Arabidopsis thaliana: one gene and its partner. The protein of the gene in region 1 interacts with the protein of each later gene in a pairwise test. Each region holds a gene or a part of one and is shown in the gene's direction. Other genes may lie near its edges. The genes, in order: ckl3 and ACBP4.

What was found.
Region 2: the proteins of ckl3 (region 1) and ACBP4 interact in binary tests that used the Arabidopsis thaliana proteins (3 or more experiments, as listed by UniProt).

Annotation. Positions count from the first base shown.
Region 1 is NC_003075.7:14,248,763-14,256,087, forward strand, and holds ckl3 (casein kinase I-like 3), read left to right. Parts: upstream 1-2,372; 5' UTR 2,373-2,588; coding exon 2,589-2,664; intron 2,665-2,760; coding exon 2,761-2,801; intron 2,802-3,003; coding exon 3,004-3,073; intron 3,074-3,162; coding exon 3,163-3,311; intron 3,312-3,414; coding exon 3,415-3,510; intron 3,511-3,587; coding exon 3,588-3,658; intron 3,659-3,768; coding exon 3,769-3,830; intron 3,831-3,905; coding exon 3,906-3,969; intron 3,970-4,095; coding exon 4,096-4,180; intron 4,181-4,259; coding exon 4,260-4,386; intron 4,387-4,493; coding exon 4,494-4,570; intron 4,571-4,658; coding exon 4,659-4,716; intron 4,717-4,791; coding exon 4,792-4,928; intron 4,929-5,151; coding exon 5,152-5,286; 3' UTR 5,287-6,184; downstream 6,185-7,325. Other genes in the region: ckl4 (casein kinase I-like 4), read left to right, coding at 1-28, 295-435; AT4G28870 (mutator transposase MUDRA protein), read left to right, coding at 1,659-1,958. UniProt on the Arabidopsis thaliana protein: Protein kinase involved in blue light responses (e.g. hypocotyl elongation and flowering) by phosphorylating CRY2 to reduce its stability.
Region 2 is NC_003074.8:1,558,613-1,568,042, forward strand, and holds ACBP4 (acyl-CoA binding protein 4), read left to right. Parts: upstream 1-3,058; 5' UTR 3,059-3,267; coding exon 3,268-3,426; intron 3,427-3,956; coding exon 3,957-4,027; intron 4,028-4,458; coding exon 4,459-4,522; intron 4,523-4,614; coding exon 4,615-4,686; intron 4,687-4,799; coding exon 4,800-4,994; intron 4,995-5,095; coding exon 5,096-5,173; intron 5,174-5,295; coding exon 5,296-5,406; intron 5,407-5,594; coding exon 5,595-5,661; intron 5,662-5,764; coding exon 5,765-5,826; intron 5,827-6,083; coding exon 6,084-6,223; intron 6,224-6,399; coding exon 6,400-6,526; intron 6,527-6,605; coding exon 6,606-6,720; intron 6,721-6,857; coding exon 6,858-6,946; intron 6,947-7,086; coding exon 7,087-7,170; intron 7,171-7,252; coding exon 7,253-7,435; intron 7,436-7,624; coding exon 7,625-7,771; intron 7,772-7,943; coding exon 7,944-8,003; intron 8,004-8,249; coding exon 8,250-8,435; 3' UTR 8,436-8,724; downstream 8,725-9,430. Other genes in the region: AT3G05410 (Photosystem II reaction center PsbP family protein), read left to right, coding at 2,532-2,844; AT3G05425 (uncharacterized protein), read left to right, coding at 8,862-8,993; AT3G05430 (Tudor/PWWP/MBT superfamily protein), read left to right, coding at 9,133-9,430. UniProt on the Arabidopsis thaliana protein: Binds medium- and long-chain acyl-CoA esters with very high affinity. Can interact in vitro with oleoyl-CoA, barely with palmitoyl-CoA, but not with arachidonyl-CoA. May function as an intracellular carrier of acyl-CoA esters.

The DNA of each region.
Region 1 (7,325 bases):
TCTGGGTTTTGATCAAGTCCACAAGAATGTACGTGCTTATTCATTTGCCTCTTCCAAATAAATGTTGTATCCTGCAACCCTCCCCCTTGTGTTAGCATCTCATGCCTGCATCTGTGTTGCTTCAGAGTTCTGCATGGTTCTCTGCTTAAAGCTTTTACCTGTTTTGCATGGTCAATTGTCATCAACGAGCTCTATATTGTGATATGAACTACATATAGCATAAATGATTAAAACACGATACTGATCATCACGAAATATGCTCTTGACCATTATTTTACTGAAAACCCATTGCAGATGAACATGCCATCATCCACTTCATTATCTCCTGCGGGTACCTCAAAAAGAAATGTCAGACCCGAAACCTCAAATTCTGGGTTTGGGAGCGGGAATAAAACCGGCGGTTGGACTTCACCATTCATGTCACCGGGGAAATGATGCAAAAAAAGTTGGAGTATATCATTCATCTGATCTGCTGAGCAAGATTATGTGTGCCTTTGGGTCTAAACTGTGATTTCTGCAGTGAAAAGCTCTAGACTGAGGTTGAAGATCTGAATGGAGTTTTTCCATGAACAGCTTACTGTTTGACAAAAGGCATGAAGATTATGTTTGCTTTCCTTCAAGATTCTCACAAATGACTGACTTCAACCTTTGTATAAAATCTTGCAACCGGGCGTGTAATTTGGTTCTTGTGATTCATTCTCCCAAGTTTTCTTCTATAAAACTTTGTTCGTATTTCTGTACGTAGTTCCCTGTGTTGGGGCATAACCTGGGTTTGCTGTGTCATCAACATTGTTTGCAGAAAATCAAGAGCAAAGCATGAGCAGCTTCAGCAGAGATGCCTTCAAAGGCTTGAGTCAAGAGTTGCTTGTGGCAGGGACATGTCACCATCAAGCTAATGTGCAGCTGACGAGAACGTAAAAGGATAAGCTATGGCTAGCTTCTGGAATGCTCCGAGAAACACTTCCCCCTTTTTTTTTCTCTGAATTTCCTATTCAGTTTAATGGTATTCTGTGTTTGATTTTTCTTACTCGATTTTGTGCATTGAAAAAAATTATATCAAAAAGCTTGACTTGATCCAAACATGCATTTTCAATTGCTATTATTAAAAAAAAAAAACGTATAAAATTGTAGTCTCAATATTGAAATACAAACACCTAGAATTGATCGATTTGGTAGAGAACTAGTTAGTGGATTAAATTTGGGTTGGCTGATTTTCGAGCCATAAACTATTTCGATTCTCAGCTTTCACACCCGGACTTTTGGGCCTTTAAATTTCCACCATCAACTTTCATATTCCCAAAATTACATCATCTATTTTTGGATTCATGCTTAAACATACATTTCCAATTGAACCATTCATTTAACCGGGATTAACCACAAATCCGCGTTTACTGTACCGCGATTGCGATTAACCCAACTAATACCCAGACCCGTTAAGAAAACGACGTCGTTTTCATTTCGTTTAACTCATCAAAAAGAGAAAGAAAACGACGTCGTTTTCATTCTTCTTCTTTAACTCTCAAATCGATTTAGTCGTTCTTCTTTAATCTCGACACTGTGAAATTAGGGTTCTTGAGAGAGAAAGACAAAAGGGGATTTGGGGTTTTCTTCTTCGGTTCGAATTTTTGGGTCTCGATTTGGGTTTCGAATAGGGAGAAATGAAGAATTGGTGGGAGGAAAGATTGATTTACCAAAGCGATCCAGATGACCCCGATTTCGAACCTCCAGAGAGTGACATTGAAGCCGACGATGGAAGTGATAGTGGTGATAGCGGAGTCGAGGAGGACGAAGCCACCAGAATCGAGGGAGAGGACGTCGGGATAGATGGAGACAGAGCTTCTGATGGAGAGGAAAATAGAGAAGACGATGGTGACATAGCGTCTGATGGAGACGTCAATCTAGAAGACGATGGAGACAGAGATGAAAGTCAAAAGAAGAGGACTACCAAATCGATTTGAGAGTTAAAGAAGAAGAATGAAAACGACGTCGTTTTCTTAACGGGTCTGGGTATTAGTCGGGTTAATCACAATCGCGGTACAGTAAACGCGGATTTGTGGTTAATCCCGGTTAAATGAATGGTTCAATTGAAAATGTATGTTTAATCATGAATTCGAAAGTAGATGATGTAATTTTGAGGAATATGAAAATTGATGGTGGAAATTTAAGGGCCCAAAAATCCGGGAGTGAAAACTAAGAATCGAAATAGTTTATGACTCGAAAATCAGCCAACCCATTAAATTTTCGAACCTTCATCATTTTGCAGACCCCAAAAACGGAAATCATCAAATCATCCACCGTGCCAGCGTGACATTACAAAATCACGTAAATACCCTCGTGTTTGTTTATAAGGTAAAAAAAGATTGGCGGACCCAAAATGGTGCAGTAGTTAGGTGTACAAATTTTTTTTTGAAGGATCACTACTACGGCTCAAACAAGCCTGGGTCCATGTCACTACCACCGATGTCAGTCAAACAAAAATAATAATATATGTTTTTAAGTTCCTCTAATTTCAATCTTCTAAACAACAACCCTAAATCCTTATCTCTATCCTTGCGCTTGATCCAGATTCGGTTCTGATTGGAGCTGCCATGGAACGCATCATCGGCGGCAAGTACAAGCTCGGACGGAAGATCGGCGGTGGTTCGTTCGGAGAGATTTTTCTAGGTTTTGTGTTCTCCTCTGTTCTTGTCCCTTTGGTTTTCCGAGTTTGCTTTTTTATTTGAAATTGACGCTCTTCTCTTCTGTTTGTTGTTTTCGCAGCTACGCACGTCGATACCTTCGAGATCGTAGCTGTTAAGATCGTAAGTCCCAGCTCAATTTGCCTTGAGACGAATTGAATCCATCCAATCTGGAGATTTGATTTGGATCTGCTATGTCTCTTAATTGATTTTGTTTGAATTGCTTTACTCTAAAATTGAGCAAGGTTTTAAACTCGGTGCTTTTTAGCTGCAATATATTCTTCAAGCTAACACTTGTTTTTAATTCAATCATTTTCTCTTGCAGGAGAACAGTAAAACAAAGCATCCTCAACTTCTCTATGAAGCTAAGCTATATAGAATTCTTGAAGGAGGAAGTATGATTCTCTTTCCTCTCTTTTCTCAGTTGTTGGACATTGGAGGGATTCATTAGCAGTACAATACTAATTTTTATGTTATGTGTCAGGTGGAATTCCGCGCATAAAATGGTTTGGAGTTGATGGAACAGAGAATGCTTTAGTGATGGATTTGCTCGGTCCAAGTCTCGAAGATCTTTTCGTCTACTGTGGGAGGAAATTCTCACCAAAGACAGTCTTGATGTTGGCTGATCAAATGGTATGGCATGACTTTCAACTATTCATTAGGCTATTTATAATATCTGTTGACTTATACATTGATTATCTAATGTGCTTCCGATTTTCTTATCCCGCTGTTACAGCTAACAAGAATAGAATTTGTACATTCGAAAGGATATCTGCATAGAGATATTAAACCCGATAACTTCCTCATGGGCCTAGGTCGGAAAGCAAATCAGGTATATTTCTGCAACTTCTTATCTTCATCAGATGCCATAAGTAGAGTATGGTATGATTGATAAGTCTCATTTTTCAGGTTTATCTAATTGACTTTGGACTTGCCAAAAGATATCGGGATGCCAACACCAACCGCCACATCCCTTACAGGTATTGTGGCCTTGGTTCAATATACAGATTGTAAATGATCTATCTGTTTTTAAGTTTTACGGTCACGTTAATCATTATACAACTTATTTCCTTTATTCGGCTATATTCAGGGAAAACAAGAATTTAACAGGAACTGCACGATATGCAAGTTGCAATACACATCTTGGAATTGGTAAGAAATGCTGGCATTCTTTATCCTTATGTAAAAGTAAATCGCTTTTGCTCATATTTTGGGTTCTCTTCACAGAGCAAAGTCGACGGGATGATCTAGAATCGCTGGGATATGTGCTTCTGTATTTCCTAAGAGGAAGGTGTGTTGTCTTTTTGAAAGAAACTAGTTAACATTATGTTATTTCGCAGGGTATTTCTATTCCTTGTTTTTAGAGATTTACTTAACTGTTTTTTGTGTTCCTCATTTCATGAACGTCCTTTTCTAGTCTTCCATGGCAGGGTCTTAAGGCTGTTGACAAGAAGCAAAAGTATGATAAAATCTGTGAGAAGAAGATATCAACTCCCATTGAGGTATGTTTCCCTATTGTGTGATTGATTCTTTTTTTGTTAATCCTCATTCGACTAAGTATATATCGATATCCCATTGCAGGTGCTATGCAAAAATCACCCTGTGGAGTTTGCATCATATTTTCATTACTGCCATACACTGACATTTGATCAGCGCCCAGATTATGGATTCTTGAAGCGGCTTTTTCGTGATTTATTTTCGCGGGAAGGTAGGTACTTTGGATAAAGACATCTCTTCATCATTCATAGTTCACTCAGCTGATAAGGTTCACCGGCATCATCTACCTACCTCACTATTATATGTTCTCTTTTGCAGGATATGAGTTCGACTATATATTTGACTGGACTATCATAAAGTATCAACAAGCACAGAAATCTAGAAATCAGTCTCAGGTATAGTTTTCAATGTTTTCTCAATCTTAATTTGCTGCTGTGTCACCTTTCTTGTTACTAACAAAAAGTATTGTCATTTCTACTGCAGGCAGTTCCTGGGTCTAGCAATCCTCGTGCAATGCCAGTGGACACAAGCAATCATCGGGGTTAGCTCTAATTAATAGCTTGTTGTTGCAATTGTTTATTTTGAAATCTCTGTTTTCTGACGCTCTGTTTGGCAGGAGGACCAAATATTTCTTATGAAGCCGAGGCCTCTGAACGCGTCAGATCGGCTAATGCCATTGGTCCAAGCCCACAGATAAATAATAATACTGCTGCAGGGAGGACTCCGGGGTTTGATCACCCTGTCCACAAGAATGTACGTATTTCTGCATTTGCCTCTTCCAAAGAACCGTTTTATTCTGCAAACTCGTTGCTTGTGTTAGCATGTCATGTATAGTATTACTCTCAGAACACTTCATGGTTCCCTGAAAACTGATTTTACCAGTATCGCTTTGTCAATTGTCATGAATTAATGAAACAATATATTGATCTTCGAGATGAGTTCCCTTGACTGTTATTTTACTGAAAACCCATTGCAGATGAACATGCCATCCACTTCATTATCTCCTGCGGGTACCTCAAAAAGAAATGTCGGACCCGAAACCTCAAATTCTGGATATGGGAGTGGGAATAGAACTGGTTGGACTTCGTCATTCATGTCTCCAGAGAAATGATGCAAAGAAAATGTAGCTTTTTCCTGAAATGGTGAGTGAGATGATGCGCTGTTAATGTGACTCCGTGCCCTTAATTCACCTCTGAAACTACAGCAGAAATCAGAACTTGGTGTCACTAACACCTTTGTATCTCCTCCACCTTTGGCTGGAAGAAAGATGCAATGGTTTCTATGTAAATTCTCTGAAGTGTGTGTGGACAAGAAGGCGTTGGTTGAAGCATTTGTGTTTACACACACAAGACATGAAAGTGTATGTGTGCTTTTCATTCAAAGATTTCCCCCAACCTTTGTATAATTCTTACACCCGGATGTGTAATCTTGTTATGTGATTCATACATATCATTTTTAGCTACTCTTTGCTATGTGATCAATGACCTTTTGCTGCAGCTTGATATATGTATACATGTTAATGGATAGCGTCATTCTTTGCAGAAATCCAGAGCCAAGCTTGAGCTGAGATGAGTCTTCAAAAGGCTTAGCAATGCACAGGTTTCTTTCACAGACGCCCAAGTTCGATTCTTATTTTTGTGCAATTGATTTATGAGGAAAGATTTTGAGAGTCAACATGGGATTCAAATAACTCGGAGACAGTGAGTAAGAAACTATTCTGGGAGAGAATAAAATGTTTGAGAGCTCATGAAGCCAGTTGAAAAACGATTTGATGCGCTCGGTCGGAGAAATCATCATCATGGAAGAGGCAGGTGACCAGGTGTAGGTTGTATTTGTACAGCTGTAATGGAAACCTATCTTAGGCCATAAGGGAAAATCCAATTTGTGTAAACTAAAGTAAGTTTGTCTTAAATTTCTTCATAGTGTTTAGTAATTAGTATCATATACTCTTCAATATTTGCTTTTAAATATTTCTGTTATCTTTATATATTGTGAAAATTGAAATCAAATCCAGACGGAACCTAAGTAATTGAAAACCAAAACAAAAATTAAATTGAAAGTAATTTACTACAATTTGAATTAAGCTACATCATTATTGTTTTTAAACGAAAATTTGATCCGATACCAACTCCAAAGAAGACTGAACTCTACTAGAAAGAAAGGGGCGTTATTCTAAAACAGGTCCATATTCAACCTAATACACCTATAATATAAAATAGTTTCGTTAGGTTCTATTTAATAATTTATTTTAAATTTAACTTCCATTCGTAATCGGCATAAGTTGGACCACATGATAAGTATGATGATGCAATGACTTGCTTTTTACATAACAACAATCTTTGGCCTCATCTACCTATTTCGCATTATAACATGTTCTTTGAATCGTTTCCCATTTTGTTTTTACATCATACAAACTTAAAAAGTTTCATCTACGGTGCTGCACCTGCACTCGAAGCAGCCCAGGTTCCATCGTGGTGTCCTTCGTTACAAAGTTAAGAAAGAGGTTCCAAAATAAGACATGAAAAAGAAGAAGGTGTTCCACTTATTTTTAAGACTGTTATATGCTTATATGAAGGACAAAATATACATCTATTTTAAGTTTAGTGGCATATAAATATATTACAAAGAAAAAATCAGAGGAGTCAGAATCCCACATCAGATAATTATAAATATATCTTATATGATTGGGCATATAATTTCATAATTGGTAACTGGAAAAAGAAAGTAAGATAATCAAAAGGAAATTGCTAGGTCTTGAATATAAAATTGTATATTAATAATCAAATTGGCTAATGTAGTGTTTGTTATGAAATTAAAATATTATTATTAGTAGTTAGTTGACCTACTTATATGTATTTTTGTAATCAATTACATGATTTAGTAATAATGTTCGTCCAAATAAAAGAATACAATTGTCAAGAGACAAAACCAAGAGTAGTTGTGTTTTATTTTGAATGAAAAGGAAAACTAAATAAATAGAGTTAGAAGCAATAATTCATATATCATATACAGTATGTGTGAGTGAGTTATGTGTGTATTAAAGTCTTAAAGTTATAAATGTATAATATATGATGCATTCATAACAAAATCATAACATGTAGCCAAGTTATTACTTTATTTGTAATAGTTGTGTATAATACATGTTGAACA
Region 2 (9,430 bases), on another chromosome or scaffold:
CCCTCTTCTCTCTTGTTTGACCAAGTAAACACCGGACCATGATAGCTCATATCAGCTAGAGAGCAGTCTCTAACGACTTCTTGGAAATCTCGCATACCCTGCGGAATAAAAGGTGAAGTAACAAAATTTGAATGCTCCTCCCCCTCCAGAATTTCATTAAAATCACCAAGAATCATCCAACTTTTGGTACGGAACATTGGCATATTGTAATGATTTCTCAAGTCTTCCCAAAGTTCCCGCCTCTCATCCACATAGTTTGAAGCATAGATAAAAGAAACCAAAAATTCCTCTGCATTCTCTTCAGTCAAAACAGAGCAAGTAATCATTTGTCCACTTTTATAAACCGGAGTGACACGAACCGAACTCTTCCAAATAACCCAAATTCGTCCCAAACGATGGTGTTCATAGTTAGTCATAGAAGACCACCCAGGAAATACCTTAGAAATGATCTTGCTAGCACTAGTTTCATCCACCCTCGTTTCTAATAAACCCCCAAAAGTTAAAGACTCCTTTCTCACCCAATCACGAACAACGGAATGTTTATTTGATTTGTTAAAACCGCGCACATTCCAGAAGAACCCCGACATTTAATGATGTTTTTTGGAGTTTCTTCTGCTCGAATTGCTGGAGACATTGTCTCTAGCTTTTTGAGTAAAAGACTCCGAAAGGACTTTGTGTGAACTCTTGGAGGAGCGAGGAAGATTTACTCTCACCGCTCCTGCTTTCTCTTTATCCGAAGTGGAATTCTTTTCGATCGCTTGAGTAGAGACAACGTCATCAATAGAGTTCGTTCGCTCCGTCTCAATGACTTCCTCTGAGGAGATTGTGGGGAACTCATCTTTATCCCCATTCTCCTCCTGATCACTCAGGACAGAGTACCGAGAAGAGGATAAAATTGTTGCTTGGCCAAAAGTTAATGGTTTCCCATTTGACTTTTCTGTACTTTTGCTTCCTTTACCTGGGGAGACTATGGACCAACCATCTCCTTCCGACTGAGATTCTGGTGGTACCACCTTCTCTGCTACCACTTGTTGTTCAAAAACCTCCTGAGAAATCAAAATCGAGTTCTGAATCCCATCCTCTTTATTCCCACTATTAGCTGACTCATGGTCAGCAACTCTCACTGTGGTAGCAGAAGCAGAAGGATCCGCTAAAACTTCACCTTCTTCTAGCTCACTTTCTATCACCAGCGCTGGAGGCTTGAGCTTACTCACACAAACATCCACTAGGTGACCCCACTTACTACAACAAGTGCATTTGGGAGGCAACCAGGGGTAAATAAACTCCACGATAACATCTTTTTCCTCCTCAATTTTGAACCTGTGACACTTTGGAACGTCTTGCGAAAGATTTACTTCAACAAAAACTTTAGCTTCATCAAACTTTGTGCATAATTCTGTTTCAGGATGTAACCGTATTGGATTTCCTACTGAACTTGTAATAAAACTCAAACCATCCCAGGAGAACATGGAATGAGGAACATTCTTCACTGTGACCCACAACGGCATTGTTTTAATCTCTGGCTGGGCTTCTTCTTTAATCGGAGACCACTTGGCAACAATCATTGGTAAACCAGCAATGTTCCACATCCCTCTTCTGACTATTCTCGAACGCGTGGCGGAGTCACGGATTCGAAACTTTACTGAAGTAGAGTCTATCTCATAGACGTCAATCTTAATTGCTTTGTCCCCAAGAGTCCAGATCTTATTGACTATGACATGGATCTTAGCGACATGCGGAGCTTGTGATGGGAACCGTCCCACCAGAAAATCATCCCAGAGAGGGACAGATTCAGTGATAACTTCTTTCGGAACTGCAATGGTTGGGACACCGTCTTGCACAGAGACTTCATATTCATCTTTTTTCAGAGAAGGCCGTTTAGTAACTACTGCTGCATAGGACTTTTGCTGGACAGATCCAGATGGAGAACCAACTGTTCCTGCCTCAGAAGAGACTGGTAAAACCTGGTCGGACATGAGAAACCGACGGCAAGCCGCCGCTGAAACCCTAGCTTGCTGAAAAAGAATGAAAACCCTAGTCGCCAAGAAAATCGCCCTAGAGCTGACGTGTCATTAAAAAAAAAAAACATCATTCTTATAGTAGAAACATTTGATTGTTCTGTGGTAACTGGTAACGACTAAGTGATATGGTTTACTAGATCTTGCAAACAAATCTAATTGATCATGAGAAAAAATTGTAAGACTAGATCGATTATTTTAGTGGTCTAACAACTAGTTTCAAAGTTGTAATTTTCAAGATTGTTTATTACATTTAGTACATGTTTGAAGTGAAACAATATATCTCAATGTAAGTACATGATTCTCTTTACTACTTTGAATCTATCACAGAAGTTAGTGCAGACACCCGATTCGCTATGATTGTTAAGATCATAAAGTGACCTAGATCGATGAGCATCAATGTTTTTTTTTTTCTTTTGCCAATAAGCATCAATGTTTTCTTGACGAGCAATTGTCATTTTATTTCAAGAAGCGGAATCTGTTTTATGAAAGTGTTTATTGTTTACGATATAGAATCGAAGCGTTTGGAGGGCCAAAAGAAGTAGGAGAGGCAATAGTAAGAACAGTGACAGGATCTGGTCAACGAGCAGATTTGAAAGGAACTTTGCTAGAATCAAGTATCAGACAAGATTCAGAGAGAAACTTGAAGTACTACGAGTTGGAGTTTAAAGTCGAATCACCTCTTTTCCGGCGGCATAATGTAGCCGTTTGTTGCGCTCACAGTGGCCGGCTTTATACACTGAACGCTCAAGCGCCAGAGTCAGCTTGGTCAGAGGTGAAATCGGAAATTTACACTACTGCGAAATCGTTCAATATAATTTCTTGAATGTAAAGGATCGGAAAACAAATTGTAAAAACCCAAAAAGAAACAAGATACTACAAAGCAAAGCTTATTTTTTCTTCATATTGATAGGGTCTCTTTGTTTTTCTTAATTAATTCACACTATTGAGTTGATTACGATGATTAAGGTCAAAAATACGAAGTGACAATAAAAAGAGAAAAGTTTCGAGCATAATCATGTCTTCTTGATCGTGCCGCTCGCTATATAAACACTGCACCAAGCAATTACTATAATTTTTGATCAATTAAATATTAAATTTTGAGAATATGTTTCTATATTAATGAAAATAATTTAAAGTAATCATAAGTTTGTATCTTTGAACAAACGAAACTAGAAAACGCCTATCTCTGCTCATTGGCTTCTCCATCTCCGATCAAATCCGCGGTCGTAGTCAGAGAGAGAGACAAATGGCTATGCCTAGGGCAACCTCTGGTCCCGCTTACCCGGAGAGGTTCTACGCTGCTGCATCTTATGTCGGTCTCGACGGATCTGATTCGTCGGCGAAAAACGTCATCTCGAAATTCCCCGATGATACTGCACTACTTCTCTATGCGCTATACCAGCAGGTCAGCAACTTCCATTTCTGATCTCTTCCATTGTTGATCTCACGATTGTGGATTTTGCTTTTGAATTTCACGAGATCTGGTCGTTTGGGTGTTGATTTCTTTGTTTTAGTCACCGATTCATATTCCTCTCGCCGAATTCTTATCGGATTTTAGAAATGACGCACTTTACTTGTCTGATTAGCTGTGCTTGATCGTTATTTTCGATCCTGGTTAGTATATTCGAAATGCTCAGTAAAATGTTACCCGAGATCTCATCACGATTTGATTGGAAACATGATTGAAACAGTTTTATTTTATTAGATCTCAGGGAGCGTTGGTCCGTCAGTCGTAGTTTACTTGGATCTACATTGATTCTATAACTTGATTAGTATAGTCGTAGATGAATTTCTTACGAGGGGGTGAAACTGGCTGTTCCTTAACATAGAGAGAAACGTTCTCTTGTACTAATTATAATGTCGAGTCTACTAGTTTTTATCCCTGGGATAGATAGGCTCAGTGCTGATGATCTCTTGGATTTAACATTGAAACAGGCTACTGTAGGACCATGCAACACTCCGAAACCTAGTGCCTGGAGACCAGTGGAGCAAAGCAAATGGAAAAGGTTAGATTGGGTGCTGTGTTTTGCCCATACTTATCTACGATTAACATTTATGCATTTATCACTGGTTCTTTTATTTCTATTCTTGCGTTTGTGAATCATACTTGTAGGAATATGCTTCATGGTAGATATTAATAGGAGATGTCTTAGATTTCATCAATTACTAGAGCGTAAGAATCCAAATGCATTAGGGAAACGGGAAAGGAGTACTTTAGTGTAAGCTACTAGAGGAAAATAGAAATGCAGGATTTGAATGTGCATCCCTGGGGAAAAAAACTAAGTGCTTACCTATGTTTTGGACCTTTTGGTCTACATTACTGAGGTTGTTAATGCTTACGATCCTTTTTAAAGGAAAATAAGACTTTAAAGTTGTCCTCGTTCCTTTCCTGAAAGATACACATGCTACTGTTCTGAAGCATTTCATATTTACTTAGTTGGCAGGGGCTCGGAACCATGCCCTCCATTGAGGCAATGCGTCTCTTTGTGAAAATTCTGGAGGTAACCGACAAAGAGGTCTATTTTTTTTTTTTTTTTAAAGACTTAACTGGAGCATAACCTTGCTTTCTTCTCTATTGCTCAATTTTTATCAGGAAGATGATCCTGGTTGGTATTCGAGGGCATCTAATGATATTCCAGATCCTGTTGTAGATGTCCAAATTAATGTAAGTTTTGGTATCCCATGGGATTCGATGTCCAAACCATGGGAACTATTACACATATCTTTTGCTTGATTGAAGAAAATTATTTGAGTTTTTTAGTGCATTCATCTTTGTAGCAGAGAGCAAAAGATGAGCCTGTTGTTGAGAATGGGAGCACATTTAGTGAGACAAAAACAATTTCTACGGAGAATGGACGTTTGGCTGAAACCCAAGATAAAGATGTAGTCTCAGAAGACTCAAATACTGTTTCTGTATATAACCAGTGGACTGCACCCCAAACATCAGGTCAGCGTCCAAAAGCTCGTTACGAGGTAATTTATTTTTTCTCTCTCTTTTGAAGAATAAGTAAAAGGTTATGTCATTCATGTATCTTCTGTATTTTTCTAAGTCTTGTTTATTATATTTTTTTCAGCATGGCGCAGCAGTTATTCAAGATAAGATGTATATATATGGTGGAAATCACAATGGCCGTTACCTTGGTGATCTTCATGTAAGCAACCTCTATGGTTTATAAGCATAAGCTCCTAATGTAATTGAGATATTCAGCTCCTAGCTTGACAATACCAGTCCCGGTGACAGTTCCTAAGCAAAGCTTCTGTGGAATGTATACAGGTTCTAGATTTAAAAAGTTGGACTTGGTCAAGAGTTGAAACCAAGGTTGCAACAGAATCTCAGGAAACATCAACTCCGACATTGTTAGCTCCTTGTGCTGGTCATTCTTTGGTAAGTTTATTAACTTTTTCGTTTTGTTTTTGTTATTATCGTTTTGCTTTCCTGCCCAGAAATATTCAGGAGAGGGGTTTCAGCTAAAGCAAAGTATTCTCTTCATGAAAGTCACTTGCTATATTAGTTTGTAATAAAGAAGACTCTAGCTATACATTATTCACTTACCTTCTTTGCTTGTTTTGTAGATAGCATGGGACAACAAGCTGCTGTCTATCGGTGGTCACACAAAGGATCCCTCAGAATCTATGCAAGGTTAGCGTTTATATACCTTTGAAGACGATAATTTGCACATATTTATAAGATTTTTCTGGAATCTCAATGATTACATATCACTTTCTACTGTTTCCTGTCACAGTGAAGGTCTTTGATCCCCATACCATTACATGGTCAATGTTAAAGACATATGGAAAACCACCGGTATATCTTCACTTCTCTCATGTTGTCTCATTTGCTTTCCTGTCACCTTTGTATGAAAATATTACAGTTTTATACAAAAAAAAATTTGGCCGTCAAAAGACAAAAAAATAAAAGTTGTTTTCTTTCCTTACCCTCCCATAATATCTTCAGGGTTAAGGTGCATCTAAATCCAGAATTTCTCCTTGCTAATTTGGAAGTCAAATATGCATTTTGGTTACTTAAATTTAGACTTTCTTATAATTATCTCTTGCTTTTAGGTTTCACGTGGAGGCCAGTCAGTTACAATGGTGGGTAAAACCTTGGTGATATTTGGCGGGCAAGATGCAAAGAGATCACTTCTGAACGATTTGCATATACTTGACCTAGACACGATGACCTGGGATGAGATAGATGCCGTGTAAGATTTTATGATGTTTCTGCATTTTGTTCTCTTTCGAAGAAGTCAAACCCATTTAAGATTAGATATATAACCAGAATATGAATATGTTAGAAATCGACCTCCTATCTCCTTTAGTATCTTAGTCGTTATTGAAAGATTAGCAATTCAGGATTTAAATTGGTGTCAAATTGCAGGGGTGTATCTCCATCTCCGAGGTCTGATCATGCTGCTGCAGTGCATGCAGAACGGTTCCTTCTTATCTTTGGTGGCGGCTCACATGCAACCTGTTTCGATGACCTGCATGTCCTTGATTTGCAAACTGTAAGTTAAGCTAAGAGTCTATTCTTTCAGCTGCTCTCAAACATGCTTTGTCAGCCTCTGATATAATTGTCACATATAGATGGAGTGGTCAAGACCAGCACAGCAAGGTGATGCACCAACTCCAAGAGCTGGACATGCTGGCGTGACAATTGGGGAGAACTGGTTTATTGTTGGTGGCGGTGATAACAAGAGTGGTATGTTAATGCACTTTTCCCTTGGAAATTTTCTCTTCCCAACCGTTCTGTTTATCACCCCCTAGAACAAAAGATATTTGCTTGGGTTTTTTTTTTTGTGTGTGTGGGGTGACTAATTTTGTGACAAATTACTGCAGGGGCATCGGAGAGTGTTGTACTAAACATGTCAACTCTTGCATGGTCGGTCGTTGCTTCAGTTCAAGGACGTGTACCTCTTGCTAGCGAGGTACTTAAATAAACAGACTTTATCCATATTAATTCCCAGATAGCTATACAAATAAACACGGTAGAAGCCTTTTCAAGACTTCGAAAAAAGTCAAGTCATGCTTATTTCATTTCCATCGTCCTTTCCTTTGCTACTGACAGGGATTAAGTTTAGTGGTGAGTTCATACAATGGTGAAGATGTACTAGTCGCTTTTGGTGGATACAATGGACGTTACAATAACGAAGTAGGGACTGTGATCTGAACCCATAAGTTCATTTCTCTTAATTTTTCATTTAGTTCTGCTTCTAATTCTTATCTGGCATTAGATTAATCTTCTTAAACCAAGCCACAAATCAACATTGCAAACAAAGACTCTGGAAGCGCCTTTGCCAGGTAGTCTTTCTGCTGTTAATAATGCCACAACCAGAGACATTGAGTCTGAGGTTGAGGTGAGCCAAGAAGGCAGGGTACGGGAAATTGTCATGGACAATGTTAACCCTGGATCAAAGGTATCTTCTTGTCAAATTTCCCTCCTTAATATATTTTGCATAGCACCACCTTTTGATTTGTTTGAGAGAATTGAAGCATCTTATGCATATATGCTGTGGTAGTGATTGTGTCGACACAGAATATAGTTACTCCAGTCCGGATCATCACCTTCTCGCACTCTTATTATGTTTTGGGTGATTAATCCCCAGGTTGAAGGAAACAGCGAACGCATTATTGCGACTATTAAATCTGAGAAGGAAGAGCTGGAGGCATCACTGAACAAAGAGAGGATGCAGACTCTCCAACTAAGGCAAGAGTTAGGAGAAGCAGAATTACGAAACACAGATTTGTACAAGGTACTAATATTATCACCTTCTTAAAACAGAAGCCGACATGAATAAATTGGTGAACCAATCGTTCATAAAGACTGGTTGCAGCAGTCTTCCAATTGCATTCACATTTAACATCTGAAATCTCGGAATTTTTCCTCGAATATGATATACCTAACTTTGTACTGACATTTTGTAGGAACTTCAATCTGTTCGTGGCCAACTTGCAGCCGAACAATCAAGGTGTTTCAAACTGGAGGTACTAAACCGTAGCCACATCTCTTTTGTACCATAACCTACAGAATTTGGAATCTCGTGAAACCCGTGATTTAATGACTACATATACTCATATTCCAGGATGAATAGGAATCTTGATTAGAACATTCATCCATTGTAACCACTGGATCTATCACATATCTTCTCTGTCATTTATTGATAAGCTTCATCACGTCATAAGAACAAAAACAAAGCAAATCTAATTGGGTCACTTTCTCCGAATCTGCAGGTTGATGTTGCAGAGCTAAGACAAAAGCTTCAAACATTGGAAACACTACAGAAGGAACTCGAACTCCTGCAACGTCAAAAGGCTGCCTCAGAACAAGCTGCAATGAACGCTAAACGACAGGGCTCGGGTGGCGTATGGGGCTGGCTCGCTGGAAGCCCTCAGGAAAAAGATGATGATTCGCCTTGATCATTTTTGGTCCGGTAATGCCATTTTCCTCCGGACGATATTTGCTTTCAGTAAAGAAATATATATAGTTTTTTTTGTCTGAGTCTCTCGCATTGTTTCTTCTTCCAATAAGATATTTTTTTAGCGAGCTTTGATTACTACCGATGTTTAGCTTTGTTCTCTGTTATACAAGTGATTCACCAGAATATTCGTTAACTTTTTTGAAATATTTGTTTTGGGAGTGTCTGACAAAATTATGAAAACTAAATCAGTTTACGATCAGCAATCATAATTTTCTTATATTTACGAGTCTCTTACTCTCTTCACTCTTTAGTCTTCGTTTGCATTAAAAATTAAATTAAATTTACCTCACTTCGTAAGTGGACAAAAAATCACGTTTTAGGCAGCAAAATAAAATAAAATAAAAAGATCACGTTTTTTTGTCCCATGACGTGGCAACCTATTACTGGATGGGAAGTTCGACCGTTCACCATCACCATTTATGACGCTGAGAAGTTACCAAAATGTCCTTCTCACCAAGTGATGCTTTTGTCATCTTCTCCAGCTTTACTCTCATGAAATTTCTTAAATTTTCTCTTCCAGCAAACAATCTCAGGATTTAAACAAAGTTACGCATCTTCTGGCTTCGAGTTGTTTCTAGGGTTTCATTGTTATGAAAGCTCTTTAACACCGAGGGTTCAAGTGTGGTTAGAGAGAAATGAATTCGGCTGAGGTGAATGTGAATCCTAGGGTTTTTGGTGATAGTTTCGTTACTTTTTCTGGCAATGGCTCCGGGAAATTTGAAATGATTGATCAGGCCGAAGCTTTCCTTATGGAGCTTGATTCGGTTGCTGCAGACACTGGAAGTGATGGAAATGGAAATGTCGATTTAGGTTCTCGAGTGTCTAACAGTGAAACGGAACCTAGATTTTGTGAAATGAAAAGAGAGATTAGAGACTCTGATCACCGATTTTATGAGCTCTGCAACGAATCTGGTGAGAAGAAAATGGAGAAAA